Linked DNA regions of Saccharomyces cerevisiae S288C. The gene in region 2 interacts genetically with the main gene of each other region. Each region holds a gene or a part of one and is shown on either strand. Other genes may lie near its edges. The genes, in order: MNE1, YME2, EHT1 and PET8.

Region 1 (5,194 bases), on a different chromosome or scaffold from region 2:
ACTTGATCATCATTGGGATGTTAGAATAAGCTTACTCCCGTCGAATTCGTATCGAAAATTTCGCAACATCATTATCAACTGTCTCGATGATTATACAATAACTCAACAGGGTGATGTAGGACGTCTGGTAAGAATACAGGCTTTAAAACTTATGCAATCCCATCCCGATTTCTTATCTGGTGATTGCGACTCCATCAATCCAAAATTAACGAGATTGCTGGCGGAACCTGTACCAGAGATCAGAAAACTAAGTTATCAATTACTTGCTTCGGCCACATCACAAATCACTGTGTTATCTGACTCTTCGATACTCAATTTCCGTCACAAGCAAGGTTTAAGTGAAGAATTCTGGAAAGGATATGCAGTGAGCGCTGGAGCAATACATTTTACAGATTCTCAGCTTACTTCATCAATAGATTCATTTATCGTATACTACAGATCTTTGTCTCCTTCACAACAGCTGGAATTATGCCACGATTTAATCAGAATAATTCCAAGCGCTAAACAAATCGCTGAATCAAGAATACGCGATCGTAACAAGGATCCATTAACAGGAGGTATGAGATTTGACACCATCAAATTCACCATTCATTGTGTAAAATTTTGGACTAGAATCATGGAATCTGGGTTGGTTGTTCTACATCCAAATTTTAATTTTCAGGGTGTTTTCGCCAAGTTCTATAACCTACATTTATTAGATTGTACGACATTGAGAGTAAGCGTGATCAAATTCTTCCCGTTCTTGGCAATATCTTGTTACCACACAATGAGAGAAAATGCTGACCAGAAGAATCTATCCAACATAATACTGAAAAGGTTGTTGGTTCTTGTGAAACGTGAATACGCCGCAACAAAATCAAAATTTATGACTGATCAAAATGTCGCTTTACAAGGTATGTTCCAGATATTTTTGGAATTAGGTGTCACCAGGCAACTCCAAGCTCTACAAGTGGCCTGCCAGAAACATGAATTGGCGAATATATTAGAGTCTGATATCACTTTATAGAATGTAAACGGCAAATTTTACATATAATCATTATTTTTGTTGCATTTGCTTAGATCTTATGTAAGAAAATAGATTTTCTACTCTCTTTGCATAGGATACATCCGCAGCAAAATTATATTCCGCATCATTTGCGGTAAATAAAGCTTCATTCCGCATTTCTTTATCTCTTTTTGCTTTAGATTTTTGGAAAATTTCTGAATCCATATGAAATAGAGTTTTTCGCTCCCCAAAAATTTTGCGCAATTCCATTATGTTTATTGGTTGAATGGTCCCTTTTTCTGACTTAAATGGTTTATTCTCAACATACCATTCGCCGACGTCATCTGTTATCTGCAAAACTCTATCGGTGTTTTCTTGTATATCAATTTCTAAGCTGGATAGCCATTCAGAAATTGCATCTCCGATTTGTATTGGCAACCTCCACGAAAACTTATCACTAAACTTATCGAAAAGAAAAAATTTGTGACTTTGTGTAACCAACAAATTATAGAAAGCAAAATAGAAAAAATCAGAATCAGAGTAGTTTTTGCAGACTTTCAACATCGAGAGAAAATCGTGGGAGGTAAATTGATAGCCGATTTCATTCAACTGGTTATACAATGCCAGTAGAGTAAGTTTGGTAGAAATATCTTGAGAGGCGCCATGAAAGAGGCAATGAAAAGTGGAATTTTCTTTGTTTCCAACTATATTATCTGTGAGTAATAATGGCTGCCATAAATTTTTTTCGTATACTATGTGCTCGACCAATGAAAGCATAAAATCGAAATCCTTGCGCACAGATAAGTGACACAGTAGCATATCAATAAAAAAAGCTCTTAAGGAATGCAGGTTGGACTCAGCCTGCATTTGGTCATCAACCTCCTTAATGTGCTTTTTCCATACTTCTAAGTTCAGAGGCAAATCACTTAATTTAAACGATAGAAATTGAAGAAATGAATCTTGCTTGAGAGGTTCGAAATTATCTTTTGATAAAATATGTATGCTCTGCTTCAAACTCACGTCAGTTGGTAATTTTTCAAGTCCGAATTGCCTAGTGACAGCGGTAGTTGATGATAATCCATTCATGGTTTCAATAACTTTGAGGCAAGAATGGTTCTGGGATAATTGTATCAAGTTGGAGGAATCATGCTGATCAAAATGAAAGTTCCATTCAGACAAGCTCCTTAAAATCTGACAAGCTTCATTCTCCATATTTTGTGCTATCATTACTTTTAGACTTTTGACTAGGCATGGACTAAATAACTCCAACAATTGAATAGCTCTTTCACGCTCCTTCGAACCTCTTAAACCAGAATCCGGTACACATGAGGATAAAATATCCAACATACTTGTCCATTGGGAGGTCTCCACATAAAATGCCAGCTGGGATAAATTGGCTAATAATTGACCCTCCGAATTTTCCGCGAACAACCGCTGTATTGCCCTTAAGTAGTAGTTCGATTGGGATTTAACAATTAAAAGAGTACAATTCCTCAAAAATTTTATGTTTGCCCGAAATTTTCCTTCTATAGTTAAAGATTTGGTTTTAAGAAAATAATAGCGATCCAATAATTGCAATGAAAATTTAGCTAGTGCAATTTTGTCATTTGCGGACCGAAGCGATAGTTTATAGAGCATATTAGATAGCTCATGATAAAATTCCAAAGGCAGCCGATCAGGTGGGAATGCATCAATCTGTCGGCCACTTTTATTTAGCCATTTTATGTGACCTGTGCCAATACGATTCAACAACGCAAAATACAAAGCAGGATTATCGGATGTACGAAGCTTCTGTAGAGTAGTCAGTACCACATTTAATCGTAAATTTACATTTTGGAGCTTATCTTCATTCAGTTTATCTTTTCTTGTTAGCGCATCCTTCAACCATTTATCAGTTATTGAGTTAGTTCTTTTGTTATTTGGTAAACGTTTATGCGATGATGGCTGTCGCCCTAGCTGTGGTAGTATTTCAGGAGTGATTAAAGAGTCCTTAATCAGCTTACCAATATGACTAGACGAATATCTTTTAAAAAGTAACTTCATATTCTTCTTGGCACACTACTATCATTTTTTCTCGCCGTTTCTAGTAGAAAAGGGCAACTTTTACTTAAAAATCATACAATTGACTTACTTTTTTTTTTTTACACAGATACCTTTTTATTTTGAACTACGCGCAGTTTGAAAGAGGAAGAGATAATCCTATGATTACTCCAAAACCTTCTTCTTTTTCGGTATTGCCTGAGAAATGATAACACTTTTGGGTAACTTCCTTTTCCAGTCTGAATTTATACTTTCTAGTTTAGGGCCTTCGTTATTGCACAATATCTTTTTGTAATATAATCTCTCTAATTGACTTAAGTGTTTTGCAATCCAAATATGTTTGAGACCTTGCTTACTATTTAATCGTTTAACTACGTCAGTTTGCAAAAGGTCTTTGACAAAACTCTTGGCATTATCTGAAACAATATCCCACTGCTTCAGTTTGAAATTCAGCTTCCCAATTTTTGCATTTTGAATAATACTCCTCTCAGAACCATCTCCATAAAAAGGCGAGATCCCTGTTAACATAATGTGTGTAATGACACCCAAAGACCAAAGATCACATTTACTGTCATAACCTCGTTGCTCTAACGTAGCTGCTCTTGAGAAGCTTTGATATGCTTTTCTGTTTGCTCTGAATCCAACTTCTGGAGCGCAGTATTCCGGAGTGCCTACGACAGTATGCATTCTTTCTTTGTTGGAATTTAAATCTTTAGCTATACCAAAGTCTGCCAAGACGATTCTAGTGCACGGTTCTGGCGTACATAACAAAATATTGTCTAGTTTCAAATCGCGGTGAACAATGTCTTGATCATGAAGGTAGTTTAAAGCTTGCAAAATTTGAAAGACGATCAATAGCGATTCAGTTTCTGACATGGAAGTTAGACAGTCGCCTTTAGCTAGGTAAGAAAACAAATCACCACCAGGGATAAGATCCTGGAATATGTAAAGGTGATTGTTCCTGTCACAGAAAGTATGGTAGACTTTGATAATATTTGGGTGATCCAGTCTCAAAAGGATTCGAGCCTCTTTATCGAATTTATTTGGTTTTAGTTTAATGATCTTCACAGCATAATTTTCAGGGTGATAACAGACATCTTCATCACGTTCTTTTGAGTTATGCGTGATCAGAACATGACCGAAAGTGCCATTACCCACTATTCTATTTGTTATTTCCCATTGGTCTACTTCCCTCAGAAAACCCATTTGATCTAAAAGTTTTGGGTCCAGAGAAGATTGTAAATCATCATTAATCATAAAAACTAGTCGTGTTTTTTTAATGTCATTTTCTTCACTTCCCTGCGATAATTCAATAACGTCGCAATGTTTTAAAAGATACGTTTTGTCCCTTTTCAAAAGCAAACCGTTCAAATACGTTCCATTAAGAGAACAATCTTTAACGTAGAACATTGGAATACTATCCTCATCAAAAAAGACACACCAAAACACGCAATGAACAGAGGAGATAGAGGGATTCGTTAGAACGAGTTGACATTCCTTATCATTTCTCCCAACTTTCACGAGCTGATGCTTTACTATAGGTATTGTCTGCTCTGTATTATAGCCGCCTACATTAACTTCCAGGTGAGCAGGAGCTACGCCACCTGCCATCTCAATATCATCTTTGGTTGCAAGGTTGCAGCTATACAACGGTCTCATTCCGCTCTTCTTCTTTCTGTTGTATATTTGGTCCTTAATAAAATTTGAAACGTACAAGAGCACTCCAGAAGGAGCTCAAGTAAAAAATTAGTCAAACCTCTCCCTTTTATACTTGAATGAATGAAATAGCCGCCGAAATTTAGCCGCCATCATTCTTCTTTTCCCCGGCTAAATTACCACGGTATGCTTTATGATTGGAAAATACCCATAAAGTAGGAATAAACTACAAATGATTCCACTTAATGAAAGATAAGCAGACAAATATACTGCATATAAGTGAAAAATAGTGAGGAGATCGCTATCAGTCAATATTGTGAAGGACCTACCTACTCTTTTTCTAGATATATATTTTTTATTTGCACAGGACCCCTCTTGCATAATTGTTCCTACTAATACGGTAGGTAGCACACAATTTTACACCACTTGCTTTACAATCATACCTCATAGGGCCTTCTTATTCTGATAATGCCCCTTTTAGAATGGCTAAACTGCTTACGTCCCGCTTTCTTA
Region 2 (5,443 bases):
CATTATCTTCTACGAATCCAACGGCAAGTTGGAGCATAAGGATATCCCAGTTCCAAAGCCAAAGCCCAACGAATTGTTAATCAACGTCAAGTACTCTGGTGTCTGCCACACCGATTTGCACGCTTGGCATGGTGACTGGCCATTGCCAACTAAGTTACCATTAGTTGGTGGTCACGAAGGTGCCGGTGTCGTTGTCGGCATGGGTGAAAACGTTAAGGGCTGGAAGATCGGTGACTACGCCGGTATCAAATGGTTGAACGGTTCTTGTATGGCCTGTGAATACTGTGAATTGGGTAACGAATCCAACTGTCCTCACGCTGACTTGTCTGGTTACACCCACGACGGTTCTTTCCAAGAATACGCTACCGCTGACGCTGTTCAAGCCGCTCACATTCCTCAAGGTACTGACTTGGCTGAAGTCGCGCCAATCTTGTGTGCTGGTATCACCGTATACAAGGCTTTGAAGTCTGCCAACTTGAGAGCAGGCCACTGGGCGGCCATTTCTGGTGCTGCTGGTGGTCTAGGTTCTTTGGCTGTTCAATATGCTAAGGCGATGGGTTACAGAGTCTTAGGTATTGATGGTGGTCCAGGAAAGGAAGAATTGTTTACCTCGCTCGGTGGTGAAGTATTCATCGACTTCACCAAAGAGAAGGACATTGTTAGCGCAGTCGTTAAGGCTACCAACGGCGGTGCCCACGGTATCATCAATGTTTCCGTTTCCGAAGCCGCTATCGAAGCTTCTACCAGATACTGTAGGGCGAACGGTACTGTTGTCTTGGTTGGTTTGCCAGCCGGTGCAAAGTGCTCCTCTGATGTCTTCAACCACGTTGTCAAGTCTATCTCCATTGTCGGCTCTTACGTGGGGAACAGAGCTGATACCAGAGAAGCCTTAGATTTCTTTGCCAGAGGTCTAGTCAAGTCTCCAATAAAGGTAGTTGGCTTATCCAGTTTACCAGAAATTTACGAAAAGATGGAGAAGGGCCAAATTGCTGGTAGATACGTTGTTGACACTTCTAAATAAGCGGATCTCTTATGTCTTTACGATTTATAGTTTTCATTATCAAGTATGCCTATATTAGTATATAGCATCTTTAGATGACAGTGTTCGAAGTTTCACGAATAAAAGATAATATTCTACTTTTTGCTCCCACCGCGTTTGCTAGCACGAGTGAACACCATCCCTCGCCTGTGAGTTGTACCCATTCCTCTAAACTGTAGACATGGTAGCTTCAGCAGTGTTCGTTATGTACGGCATCCTCCAACAAACAGTCGGTTATAGTTTGTCCTGCTCCTCTGAATCGTCTCCCTCGATATTTCTCATTTTCCTTCGCATGCCAGCATTGAAATGATCGAAGTTCAATGATGAAACGGTAATTCTTCTGTCATTTACTCATCTCATCTCATCAAGTTATATAATTCTATACGGATGTAATTTTTCACTTTTCGTCTTGACGTCCACCCTATAATTTCAATTATTGAACCCTCACAAATGATGCACTGCAATGTACACACCCTCATATAGTTTCTCAGGGCTTGATCAGGGTTCCGTAGATGGGAATTTGAGAAGTATAAGGGAGATAACGGTAATGTTATATTGAGAAAATGAAAGATGAACTCAGTATTGACAGGATCTAAAACCAAAATATAGCGGGCCTATACAGGAAGTAGTATTTGTAAAAGTAAACCATGTTGCTAGTACGAACGACTTCCCTGAATGTGTCAAGGATGCCAGTGCCATGCCTCGCCAGAGGAATAGGCATCCTCAAGGGCAAATATAGACTAGCGAACCTGATGAATGCCCAACCCTCAGTGAGACATGTGTCGAGCGAGATCCAGCAAAAGGATCAGCAGGCAGGAGAGTCAAACACCGCCACCGATACTGGTGTTATTCACAAATCAGATGAAGAAACTCTGATATATTTCGATAATGTTTACGCTAGAACCACCTCGGTTTGGAATCCAACACTGTGGTACAATCTCCTGCTAAGAAACCAGTCACGGGATGCAGTGAGGGAGAAAATAAGGAATTTAGCCAGTCCACCCAATAACCCCATTTATGGACTGGAGTTGAAGTCTACCATTCCAGTGAAAAGGGATGGTGGTGTATTTGCCACATTTGTCGTTCCACCCAAGTATACAAAAGCTCAGGTAAATTCTCTAATCCAACAGAATACAGCCAGAGAATCCTCTAAAAACTTACTCTCGTACTTCACTCGAGCTTCTGCCTTCCCAGTAAAGGGTTCGCCTTGGATTGAGGATTTAAGAAGACTACCAAGTACCACTATAGTCATCAAGTTCCAAGGGCCCGCCTTAACAGAAGAAGAAATATACTCTTTATTCAGAAGATATGGGACAATTATTGATATTTTCCCTCCCACTGCTGCTAACAACAATGTGGCAAAGGTAAGATACCGTTCATTCCGTGGTGCCATTTCTGCCAAGAATTGTGTTTCCGGTATCGAAATTCATAATACCGTCTTACACATACAATACGAAAATATCAGAAGAGGCCATCTAGTTAGTAATTTTTTCACCAACCATACAAGGATTGCTATTCCAGTTTTATTTGCGCTACTTTCAATCTTTGCTGTTTTAGTGTTTGATCCTATAAGAGAATTTTCGATTGAACAGAAGATCACTCACAAATATTCTTTATCGTGGGACAATAAGTTTTGGAAACAACTGAAAACGCTAACCTCATCTACCATGACTTCTATCAAGTACTACTGGGGCGGCCCTGATGATAATCACCAAAGAAAGCATTTATGGGAGGAAAGAATAGAGAAAGTGAATGACCTGAAAATGTGGCTTGAAGAAAATAATAATACTTTTGTGGTTATAAGGGGGCCTAGAGGTTCAGGGAAACATGATTTGGTCATGCAACACACTTTGCAAAATAGAGCAAATGTTTTGTATTTGGATTGTGATAAATTGATTAAGTCCAGAACAGATCCTATGTTTTTAAAAAATGCCGCTAGTCAATTGGGTTATTTCCCAATATTCCCATGGATTGACTCTGTCACAGGTGTCCTTGATTTAACAGTGCAAGGATTAACAGGGCAAAAAACTGGGTTGTCTGAGACGAAGGAATCTCGGTTTAGAAACATGTTAACTACCTCATTGATGTCCATTAGACGTATTGCTCTCAAGAATTACAAGGCTTTTGTTTCCACCGGTGATGGGACAGTTAATGTTAAGGAAGAAGATTACCTACAGCAACATCCGGAAGCTAAACCCGTTATCGTCATAGATAGGTTTGAGGGCAAGTCGGAAATAAATGGATTTGTGTATAAGGAACTATCCGATTGGGCAGCTATGCTAGTTCAAATGAATATTGCTCATGTGATTTTCTTAACGGAAACCGTTGCATCCAACCAAAGATTGAGCGAATCACTACCCAATCAAGTCTTCAAAAACCTAATCCTATCAGATGCCTCAAAAGAGAATTCGAGGAACTATGTATTATCCCAATTGGAGGATTACTTATATTACAATAAAAAATCCAAGGGTGAAAACGTAAAAGAACCTGAATCAGAAAAGGAAACTGCTGAAAATAATGATTCTGATAGTGAGGCCGATACGAGTGTCAAAAAAGCTGAGGTTATTTTAAATGAAAAGGAATTACAGGAAATTGACGCTTCTTTAGAGCCATTGGGTGGTAGGATGTTAGACTTACAGGCATTTGTAAGAAGGGTAAAGTCAGGAGAAGAGCCCTCGGAAGCAGTAGACAAAATGATTGAACAGGCTTCTGAGCAAATAACTCAAATGTTTTTAAGTGACAAGATTGACAGCAATAAAAGTGCACAAGCCTGGGAATTAATCGAATTATTGAGTGCGAACCCAGTCATTCCATTCCATGAAATCGTTAACAAGCCATTATTCAAAGCCGCACCAGAAACGGGAATCATGGAATTGGAGAATAATGGTTTAATAACTGTATCTAGAGATAGGGGTGTTTTACAGGAAATCAGGCCTGCCAAACCGCTATACAGGGCAGCATTCACATACTTGATCAACGATCCTGAACTCGCAAAAGTGCTAAAAACCCGTTACTTATTAAAGGTTGTGGGTTTTGAAACTGGTAGAATCAAGAAATGGGAAGAAGAATTAAAACCTTTGGGGAAAGTTCCTGATCAGAAACTTTTCAAGACCAGATTGGACTATTTATCCGGTAAAATCAATGCCAGTAATGCAGTCATTACCAAATGTGAAGAAGAAATTAAAAACCTATCTAAGTGATGAAACAAAACTTACTATTCTGCTTTTCTGTACATATGTGTAAACCCTATATTGCTATACTCATCTATATTCTTTTGAAAATGTATAAAAGTGACGATTGGAGATGGTGCAATTTTCTACGCAGCATGAAAAATATCTAAGGAAGGTAAGGTACATACCAAGTAAGTCTTATAATATGTTGTTGTACCTCACTTTACCATTCTTAAAGTCTTTAAAAGAAATTACCTTACCCAATTTGCACAGCAAAGGTCACTGACCTATACGTGCCCTTCATCAGATTACATCACGTGAAATTTCACTGGGAAAGAGCGCGAGGGCTTTCCGATGACTTTCTACATTAATAATCGCAAACAAAGCAATCAGCACAGCAAAGAGTACAATTTCGAAAATTGCGACAGAGCAACGTAAGTATATCGTTGTTGATAGATTCCACTCCAACCTGCAAATGCTGCTTCTTCCAAGATGTCCTGTAATTGGGCGAATTGTAAGATCAAAATTTAGATCTGGTCTAATCCGGAACCATTCGCCCGTTATATTTACTGTGTCTAAGTTATCAACCCAGCGGCCTCTGTTATTCAATTCAGCTGTGAATTTATGGAATCAAGCACAAAAGGATATTACGCACAAAAAATCCGTCGAGCAATTCTCGTCGGCTCCAAAAGTGAAGACTCAGGTAAAAAAGACCAGCAAGGCCCCAACCCTCTCGGAACTGAAAATCTTGAAAGATCTATTTCGCTATATTTGGCCCAAAGGCAACAATAAAGTGAGGATAAGGGTACTGATTGCCCTTGGACTGTTGATATCCGCCAAAATTTTAAATGTTCAAGTACCTTTTTTTTTCAAGCAAACTATTGATTCAATGAATATAGCATGGGATGATCCTACAGTCGCCCTTCCGGCAGCGATTGGATTAACCATTCTTTGCTATGGTGTTGCAAGGTTCGGCTCTGTTTTATTCGGCGAACTGAGGAACGCCGTATTTGCCAAAGTGGCACAGAATGCCATTAGAACTGTGTCGCTACAAACTTTCCAGCACCTTATGAAGTTAGATTTGGGATGGCACTTGAGTAGACAAACGGGTGGTCTGACGAGGGCCATGGATAGAGGTACAAAGGGTATATCTCAAGTGTTAACGGCCATGGTATTCCACATTATCCCTATAAGTTTTGAAATATCTGTCGTTTGTGGGATTTTGACGTATCAA
Region 3 (4,453 bases), on a different chromosome or scaffold from region 2:
AAAATGACGGCATAGAGGAGGTTCATGCCATACCACTAAACATTGCTCCGACTCTCAAGGAAGCCATTGATATGTATTCAATACAAAATCCCAAGACTTATGAAATACACACTTTGAAAGAACTTCCCGATTTGGTTCCCCAAAACGGAAAATATGCTTTACTGAAGATTTACATAAAGGACGATAAAAGGCCTGCCTCTACTAGTCTATTAAGGAATGGTACTGTTGATATTTCATTAATTGACTCCCCTGGGTTGAACATGGACTCGTTACAAACCGCCGAAGTAATGTCCCGACAAGAAGAAATCGACTTAGTTATATTTGTTGTCAATGCAGAGAACCAGCTAACACTATCTGCCAAGGAGTTTATTTCTTTAGCATCTCGTGAGAAAAAATTAATGTTTTTTGTTGTGAAAAAATTTGACAAAATCAGGGACAAACAACGTTGTAAGGAGTTGATCCTAAAGCAAATCCGTGACCTGTCCCCAGAAACATATAAACGTGCAGCTGATTTTGTCCACTTTGTTTCCAAAAACGGAGATGAATTGCCACATTATCATAATGAAAATGACAATGAAGATCATGGTGACCGAAAACCTGACGACGACCCATATTCTAGCAGCGATCCCGATCCGGATTTTGACAGTCTGGAAGATTCTCTACGCAATTTTGTTTTGAAGAAAAGATCACTTTCTAAATTGTTACCTGCCAAGACTTATCTATCGAAATTATTAAGCGATATAATAATGATCTCCAAATCTAATATGAAAATGTATAGTGAAGAAGAAATAAAAATTAACGAACAACTGGAAACATTGAGACCTGAAATTTTGAGCGCTAGAGCAAAGTGCAATGATTTAACAACTTCCGTTGATCAAATGGCCGAGCAAACAATTACAATGACTTATAACAATACTAAAGAAGCACTTCTCAATGCGTTGGATGTTCCGCTACACGAATATCCGAAATATCAGGGCCTCGGTCAAATTTATGACTTCATATTTTCAACAGAAGCGTTCATAGCAAATCAGATTGATGAGTCAATAGGATCAAGTGAATTATTTGCCAAGCAAAAGACAGATTTACTGGTAAAAAAAATTTATGAGATTGGAAAAAATGAACTTGGTGATGATTTCATGTGTGAACGTGTTTTCAGAAGCGAACTAATGTTTAGAAAAAGGAAGCATTTGATAGGAAAAAGGCTTAAAGTATCTTTGTCAATAACTGATTTGTTTGCTCCAACTTGGAAAGGCTTTTTGTCTTACTTAAGCTGGCAGAAACCTGTCACAGCACCACTGCCGGATATAGAAGGACAAACTAACGAGGGTCAGATTGGCCTAATGAAGTATTTGGGTTTGAAAAATTATCCTTTGACACAATATTGGTCAAGACCATCATTGCTCTTCACATCAAAAATTCCCACTCTAACGCTGTACTTTCTAGGAAGTACAAAGGTTGTGGGGAACATTATATTAAACGGCATTAAATTATCGTCGTGGAGCTCACTCAAGAAGTTATCAGTTCCGGTTATAGTGGTAGGTTCCTTGTTGGGACTTACGTATTTAATTCATGACCTCCCCCGTGCCTTACCAATGAATCTTTCCATTAAATACAAAAGAAAGTTGCAAGAACTGGATTACATTCATCTTAACGCTCAAAGAACCTCAAATGAAGTACGTGATGTTTTGCGTGTACCTACACGTGAAATTCTAAGGTCGTGTGAAATAATTATGGATAAAAAACAAATCACTAAGAAAGAATTGGAAAACAAAAAAGAAAGTAACTTGTTGTCAATCAAATTCTTCCAATCTCTATACGAAGGAACCGTGGCTCAAAAATTGATGGTGGAAGAAATAAATTTAGACATCGATTAGATATTCTTGTAAATATATGAGGTCTTTTCAAATCAATATACATAATGTTACTTATTATTTTATTCCAAGCAGGTCCATTTTTTTTTTCACTTTGCACGAAATTACATAAACATTAAAAGGACCCTTGTGTATCTGCTTAATGATTTGCAAAACCTGCGGAAACGGAACGAAAAATGAGCAATCTCGTTCCGGTTCCGAGATCCTTTTTTTTTTTTAAATCTTGCGCATGTGCAGATTTTAAAAGGCGTCAGATATCGGATGTCCCTGGAAGTAATAGCTCCTCGAGTATTTCCTCCGTTTATTATTAATATGAGCAGTTTTTTAAGTTCTATTATTACATTGATAGTAGTTGCGTAAAAAACAAAGCTCATAAAAGTTTCCGATATGTCAGAAGTTTCCAAATGGCCAGCAATCAACCCATTCCATTGGGGATACAATGGTACAGTTTCGCATATTGTCGGTGAAAATGGTTCCATTAAACTCCATTTAAAAGACAACAAGGAGCAAGTTGATTTTGACGAGTTCGCTAACAAATATGTCCCAACGTTGAAGAATGGTGCCCAATTCAAATTGAGTCCTTACTTGTTCACAGGTATTTTGCAAACTTTGTACTTAGGTGCTGCTGATTTCTCTAAGAAATTTCCTGTATTCTACGGCAGGGAAATTGTCAAATTCTCGGATGGTGGAGTTTGCACCGCTGACTGGCTCATAGATTCATGGAAAAAGGATTATGAATTCGATCAAAGTACTACGAGCTTTGATAAAAAAAAATTTGATAAAGACGAGAAGGCGACACATCCAGAAGGATGGCCTCGTTTACAACCACGTACAAGGTACCTGAAAGATAATGAGTTGGAAGAACTACGGGAGGTTGATCTACCCCTAGTAGTTATTCTACATGGTCTTGCTGGTGGTAGTCATGAGCCGATTATAAGATCTCTTGCTGAAAACCTGTCTCGCAGTGGGAGATTTCAAGTGGTCGTCCTAAATACCAGAGGTTGTGCACGTTCCAAAATTACCACCAGAAATTTATTTACAGCTTATCACACAATGGATATTCGCGAGTTTTTGCAAAGAGAAAAGCAAAGACATCCAGATAGAAAACTATACGCTGTGGGATGCTCTTTTGGTGCTACGATGCTGGCAAACTATCTGGGAGAAGAGGGCGATAAATCACCTTTATCCGCAGCTGCTACTTTGTGCAATCCTTGGGATCTTCTCCTTTCAGCAATTAGGATGAGCCAGGATTGGTGGTCAAGAACTTTATTTTCCAAAAATATTGCGCAATTCTTAACAAGAACCGTTCAGGTTAATATGGGTGAATTAGGAGTTCCAAATGGCTCTCTCCCCGATCATCCTCCCACAGTCAAGAATCCATCTTTCTATATGTTCACGCCTGAAAATCTAATAAAGGCAAAGAGCTTTAAATCGACCCGGGAATTTGATGAAGTGTACACTGCGCCTGCTTTAGGCTTCCCAAATGCTATGGAGTATTATAAAGCGGCCAGCTCAATAAACAGAGTTGATACAATTCGGGTTCCTACCCTTGTTATCAATTCCAGGGATGATCCTGTTGTCGGCCCAGATCAACCATACTCAATCGTGGAAAAGAATCCTCGTATTTTGTATTGTAGAACCGATTTAGGTGGTCATTTAGCTTACCTAGATAAAGACAACAACTCGTGGGCTACCAAGGCAATTGCAGAATTTTTCACTAAGTTTGATGAATTAGTCGTATGATGTCACACAATTTTCAAACCACTTTCCTATGTATTTATACAACATTGGATCAATGCCCCTTTATTTTAAGTTATGTATTTTTTGTTGTCTTCAGTATACCTAAAATTTAAAGTTTTTTTCCCTATGCAGTGATTTTTATCTATATATTTTACTTTTCGTTAATTGAAGAGAGGAATTCATTCCATAAGTCCTCCTTAACTTTGAAAGTATGAGTACCTCTCTCAGGAAATGTCCTATCCTCTACACTTGCAATGTACTCCTTCAAGCCCTGAGTGGCAATATCTGTCATATTTACAGCTTGCTTCACAAATTTTGGGACAGAATCGCCTTGCATCCCGAGAAGGTCAGATATAACTAGAACTTGTCCACTGGTACCGTTACCTGCACCGATACCTATTGTTGGTACTGAGAGTTTAGATGTTATGAACTGAGCCATCTTATGGGGGACACATTCAATCAGGATAGACCAACAGCCAATTTTTTGTAGTTGCATGGCGGTTTCATACAGCTCCTGCATTTGTAATAGACTTTTGCTACCTTGCACTTTATAACCTCCAAGTGAATGAACTTTTTGGGGAGTTAGTCCTATATGAGCCATAACAGGTATACCCCGGGAGCACAGTTCTTCAATAAATTTCATTGCATATTTGTCTTTGGTGTAAGAACCGACTTCAACTTTGACTGAGGTGACTTTACTGTCCAATTTCATGATATCTATGGCATTCTTCAAGCCATCAGATATGCCCGATTCAAACGTACCGAATGGCATGTCTACCACTACCATGGAAGAACCTTCAGCTCTGCACACAGAGGCAACATGATATTTAAACTCATTCAAG
Region 4 (3,951 bases), on a different chromosome or scaffold from region 2:
GCACCCCCGAAGATCTCACTGAGTTTTTTTCACAGATAGGAAAAGTAGTCCGCGCGGATATAATTACATCAAGAGGGCACCACAGAGGTATGGGTACAGTAGAGTTCACTAATTCGGATGATGTTGACAGGGCCATCCGCCAGTACGATGGGGCCTTCTTCATGGATCGTAAAATCTTCGTCAGGCAAGATAATCCACCACCGTCAAACAATATCAAGGAAAGGAAAGCACTCGATAGAGGAGAGCTTAGACATAACCGAAAAACACATGAAGTTATTGTAAAAAATTTACCTGCTTCCGTTAATTGGCAGGCTTTGAAAGACATATTCAAGGAATGTGGGAATGTCGCACACGCTGATGTGGAATTGGATGGCGATGGAGTATCCACTGGATCTGGTACGGTGTCCTTTTATGATATTAAAGATCTGCATAGAGCGATTGAGAAATACAACGGTTATAGTATAGAGGGTAACGTCTTGGATGTCAAGTCTAAGGAAAGCGTACATAACCACAGTGATGGAGACGATGTTGATATCCCAATGGATGATTCTCCCGTTAACGAAGAAGCTCGAAAATTTACCGAAAACGTTGTCGGTGGAGGTGAAAGAAATAGACTCATATATTGCAGTAATTTGCCATTTTCAACTGCAAAAAGTGATCTTTACGACCTTTTCGAGACAATCGGAAAGGTTAACAATGCTGAATTAAGGTATGATTCCAAAGGGGCACCAACTGGAATAGCTGTCGTTGAATACGATAACGTCGATGATGCAGATGTTTGTATTGAAAGATTGAATAATTATAACTATGGGGGTTGTGATTTGGATATATCGTACGCTAAACGCCTCTAGAACTACTCTCGATCTATATACTTTCTCACCTATTGGATCTGCGACAAGTATTTATTCATTCTTGACTTATTTCCAGGCTTTTTAACTTTATAATGTCATTGTGTATACGTATAATCTGAAAAAATTTCGAAGACTTTGAAGAAGACTGTGAAAAGAGTCTGATTTTTCCAATACAGTGAAAATGGGTTTAACAAATATCCAAAAAAGTACTTTGAACAGATATCGTAAATAGACGACTTTTTTATATGAATAACAAAAAATAAACAACAGACAAGAGGCCTCAGAAGGCTTACGTAAAGTACGTAAACGATCTACCTCTTACAACTGGTAGTTGCTTTTGCTCTATGTTTTCATTACGCTCTCATTTCTCCAGCCGTTGGGAAACTTTTCGATAATAACGAATGAACAGTTTCATACATGCCTAGGAAGATAGCACCACCTGCACTGATCCACATTGTCCGGGGCCCCACTCCACTGAAAAATACAGCAGGACCTTCCTCTCTGTAAATCCTAATAATAACGCTTCCAAGTGAGGCGGTTGTTTTGTTGAGCATTAATCTGGTTTTCAAGAAATCTAATGGTGTCGTTGTAGCTGCTGCGATCCCACCCGCAATAGAACCGCAGATAGCCCCTTTCCATGGCTCCACTTGACTTTGGCCATTGGCTTTTGCCCAAGTCTTTTTTAGATACTCGTATAAAGGAAACTGTATACAAGTAAACGGTATTTCTCTCATAATGGTGGTAGACCACCCTCTATAAAGATTTTTCCTTAAACCTTCCTTATTGTCATTTCGTAGAATTGACTGTAAAGTCTGCCAGGAAGAATTGGTAGAGTGAACTTGCGTCCTTTGCTTAACGACTTCTGCGGGAACTCGAACAAGACAAGCACAAATTTCACCAATGGAAGAGGAAAGCATGTGCGTTGTCGTATCAATCAATTGCTCAGATCCCTGTGAGTAAAGTTTGCTGATATATGGCCTTGATTTTACTTTCATATAATCATAACTAATAAAGAAAAGTGAAGCACCTGGCGCCGATGCTACAACAGCGCTTCCCAAACCACGATATATGCCTTTGTATCCTCCATTAGCAAAGAATCCACCCTTAGCTTGAAGCCTGGTTTTAATTGTGTCTATAGGGAAAAAAACCAAATCCGTAGAGGTACCAGCAGCGGCGCCACTTAGCAAGGAAAGAAAAAAAGTATTCATAGCAAACTTTTCAAAGCGAATTTTAGTTCATCGGTGTGTCTAAACATATAAAATCGCCAAACAATTTACAACAAGTGGAGCTTTAATGATCTCATATATTCTCGAGGGTGCACCCCACTGCAAATGTATTTATATACAAAACAGCGCTCAGTAAGCGAGGAAAAAAAGAGGCGCCCGTGCTTTTGCCGATACATAAACTAAAAACCAATAAACTTGCCAAAATACGTATATTCTTCAATCCATGAGGCACCACTAATTATATGCAAAAGCTCAATATCTGCTCCTTCAATGGCATTAGATAACTAACAACCTATGTACTATACAATTTTAAAATACTCTCTTAATTAATTCAACTTGGCTAATAAAGAGTCAATGTCAACTTCGATAACTGGTGCTGTAGCTGCATTTGAAAATTGACGAGTTCTTGATTCAGCCTCCCGCTGTTTTATTTTCCTTAGCCTATTCAAAGAACCAAATCCAGATACTTCTCTATTCAACTTGAATGGTTGTAAGAAGAAGTTACAAACAGAAAAAGACTCACCCATAGTGGCAATCTCATGAATAATATCTTCAACACAAATTATTCCATGATCTCCTAATTGCTCCTCGACAATATTGTTGTCATTAAGAACTATTTCGTGAGGTTCAGCCTCATTCTCACCCTTATAGATTATTCTACCTCTCTTTTGAATCAAGGAACGGATAGAAGATAAAGAAGGCTTGCCAATCACTACGTATGGCGCAATAACCTTGAGCAACGGATATACGTTTTTGGTCAATTTGACGAAAACACCAGTATTAGTTTCAACTAATCTTAGCAAAGACAAAATCTTAAATGCTTTGTTTGGAATATTTACAGCAAGCGGACCTCTTACTCTGACAATGAAAAGTAAAGCAGGTTTGCCATCGTAAGTAGTCTTTTCTCTGATTAAACCATCGTCTTCTTCTTCTTCAGTCTCCTCCAAGTCGACAGAGTTCTCTTCGGCGCCATTAGCTTTTTCTGTTATTTTCAGAATAAAATCTTTCCCAGATGCAATATGCTGCGTTTCATTCTTTGCCTTCTTATCTTCTAATATAGACACTCTTTTAATTCTTTCCTTTTCCCTAGAGGTAGCCAAAGTCTTTGCAACTATACTTTCAGCTCTGACAAATTTGTTCTTATTACTTCTCTTTTTTTTGATTTGTTCTTCCCTCTTTTTCTTAGCTAATTCTTGTCTTTCGATTCTAGTTCTATCAGCATTTCTTCTTTTCCTCAAAAGAATTTCTGGATTAGAATTAAGAGTTTGCGCTTTACTGTCTTGAGTTGAAGACATTGTGACTTGTATATCTTATTCTTTTTCCCTGTGGCAGCCTCTTCTTTCTAGGAACTTAATAACGAAAGTACCAAACAACTTAGACTTTTCTCATCTCATCGCTTCCCAGCTTTTTTTAAGCAGAGCTGAAAAAAATTTTCTTTTTACCAAAAATCCGTACTGCGTGATGAAAGTGTACATACATTATTCAATATTCACCTAGTTTTGTATATTAATGTAAAATGTAATTTAATGAAGATCCCAAAAAATTAAGCATTCGTTGCTGCATCGTTGTCATTTTGTTCAATTATCGCATTCCTATCATAGCAAAAATATGAAGGTTATTAGTCTGAAAAAGGATTCTTTTAACAAAGGAGGAGCAGTGATTACTCTTTTACCGGAGGACAAGGAAGATCTGTTTACTGTTTATCAAATAGTAGACAAAGATGACGAGTTGATATTCAAGAAAAAATTCACCTCTAAACTTGATGAAGCTGGTAAGAAAAAAAGTACAGATTTGGTCAAGTTGAAGATTAAAGTAATATCCGAGGATTTTGATATGAAGGATGAATATTTGAAATATAAAGGTGTTACTGTTAC

Evidence for each region.
Region 1: mutations in YME2 (region 2) and MNE1 together harm fitness more than expected from each alone (negative genetic interaction), as found in Saccharomyces cerevisiae (2 studies listed by BioGRID).
Region 3: mutations in YME2 (region 2) and EHT1 together harm fitness more than expected from each alone (negative genetic interaction), as found in Saccharomyces cerevisiae (2 studies listed by BioGRID).
Region 4: mutations in YME2 (region 2) and PET8 together harm fitness more than expected from each alone (negative genetic interaction), as found in Saccharomyces cerevisiae (2 studies listed by BioGRID).

Annotation. Positions count from the first base shown.
Region 1 is NC_001147.6:991,828-997,021, forward strand, and holds MNE1 (Mne1p), read right to left. Parts: upstream 3,029-5,194; coding exon 1,037-3,028; downstream 1-1,036. Other genes in the region: CIN1 (Cin1p), read left to right, coding at 1-1,006; serine/threonine protein kinase MEK1, read right to left, coding at 3,191-4,684.
Region 2 is NC_001145.3:868,869-874,311, reverse strand, and holds YME2 (Yme2p), read left to right. Parts: upstream 1-1,686; coding exon 1,687-4,239; downstream 4,240-5,443. Other genes in the region: alcohol dehydrogenase ADH2, read left to right, coding at 1-1,021; ATP-binding cassette Fe/S cluster precursor transporter ATM1, read left to right, coding at 4,685-5,443. UniProt on the Saccharomyces cerevisiae protein: Plays a role in maintaining the mitochondrial genome and in controlling the mtDNA escape. Involved in the regulation of mtDNA nucleotide structure and number. May have a dispensable role in early maturation of pre-rRNA.
Region 3 is NC_001134.8:583,968-588,420, reverse strand, and holds EHT1 (medium-chain fatty acid ethyl ester synthase/esterase), read left to right. Parts: upstream 1-2,258; coding exon 2,259-3,614; downstream 3,615-4,453. Other genes in the region: FZO1 (mitofusin), read left to right, coding at 1-1,874; ECM31 (3-methyl-2-oxobutanoate hydroxymethyltransferase), read right to left, coding at 3,763-4,453. UniProt on the Saccharomyces cerevisiae protein: Displays enzymatic activity both for medium-chain fatty acid (MCFA) ethyl ester synthesis and hydrolysis (esterase activity). MCFA are toxic for yeast and this enzyme could thus be involved in their detoxification by esterification.
Region 4 is NC_001146.8:623,771-627,721, forward strand, and holds PET8 (Pet8p), read right to left. Parts: upstream 2,060-3,951; coding exon 1,205-2,059; downstream 1-1,204. Other genes in the region: HRB1 (mRNA-binding protein), read left to right, coding at 1-851; RLP7 (Rlp7p), read right to left, coding at 2,404-3,372; ribosome dissociation factor DOM34, read left to right, coding at 3,686-3,951.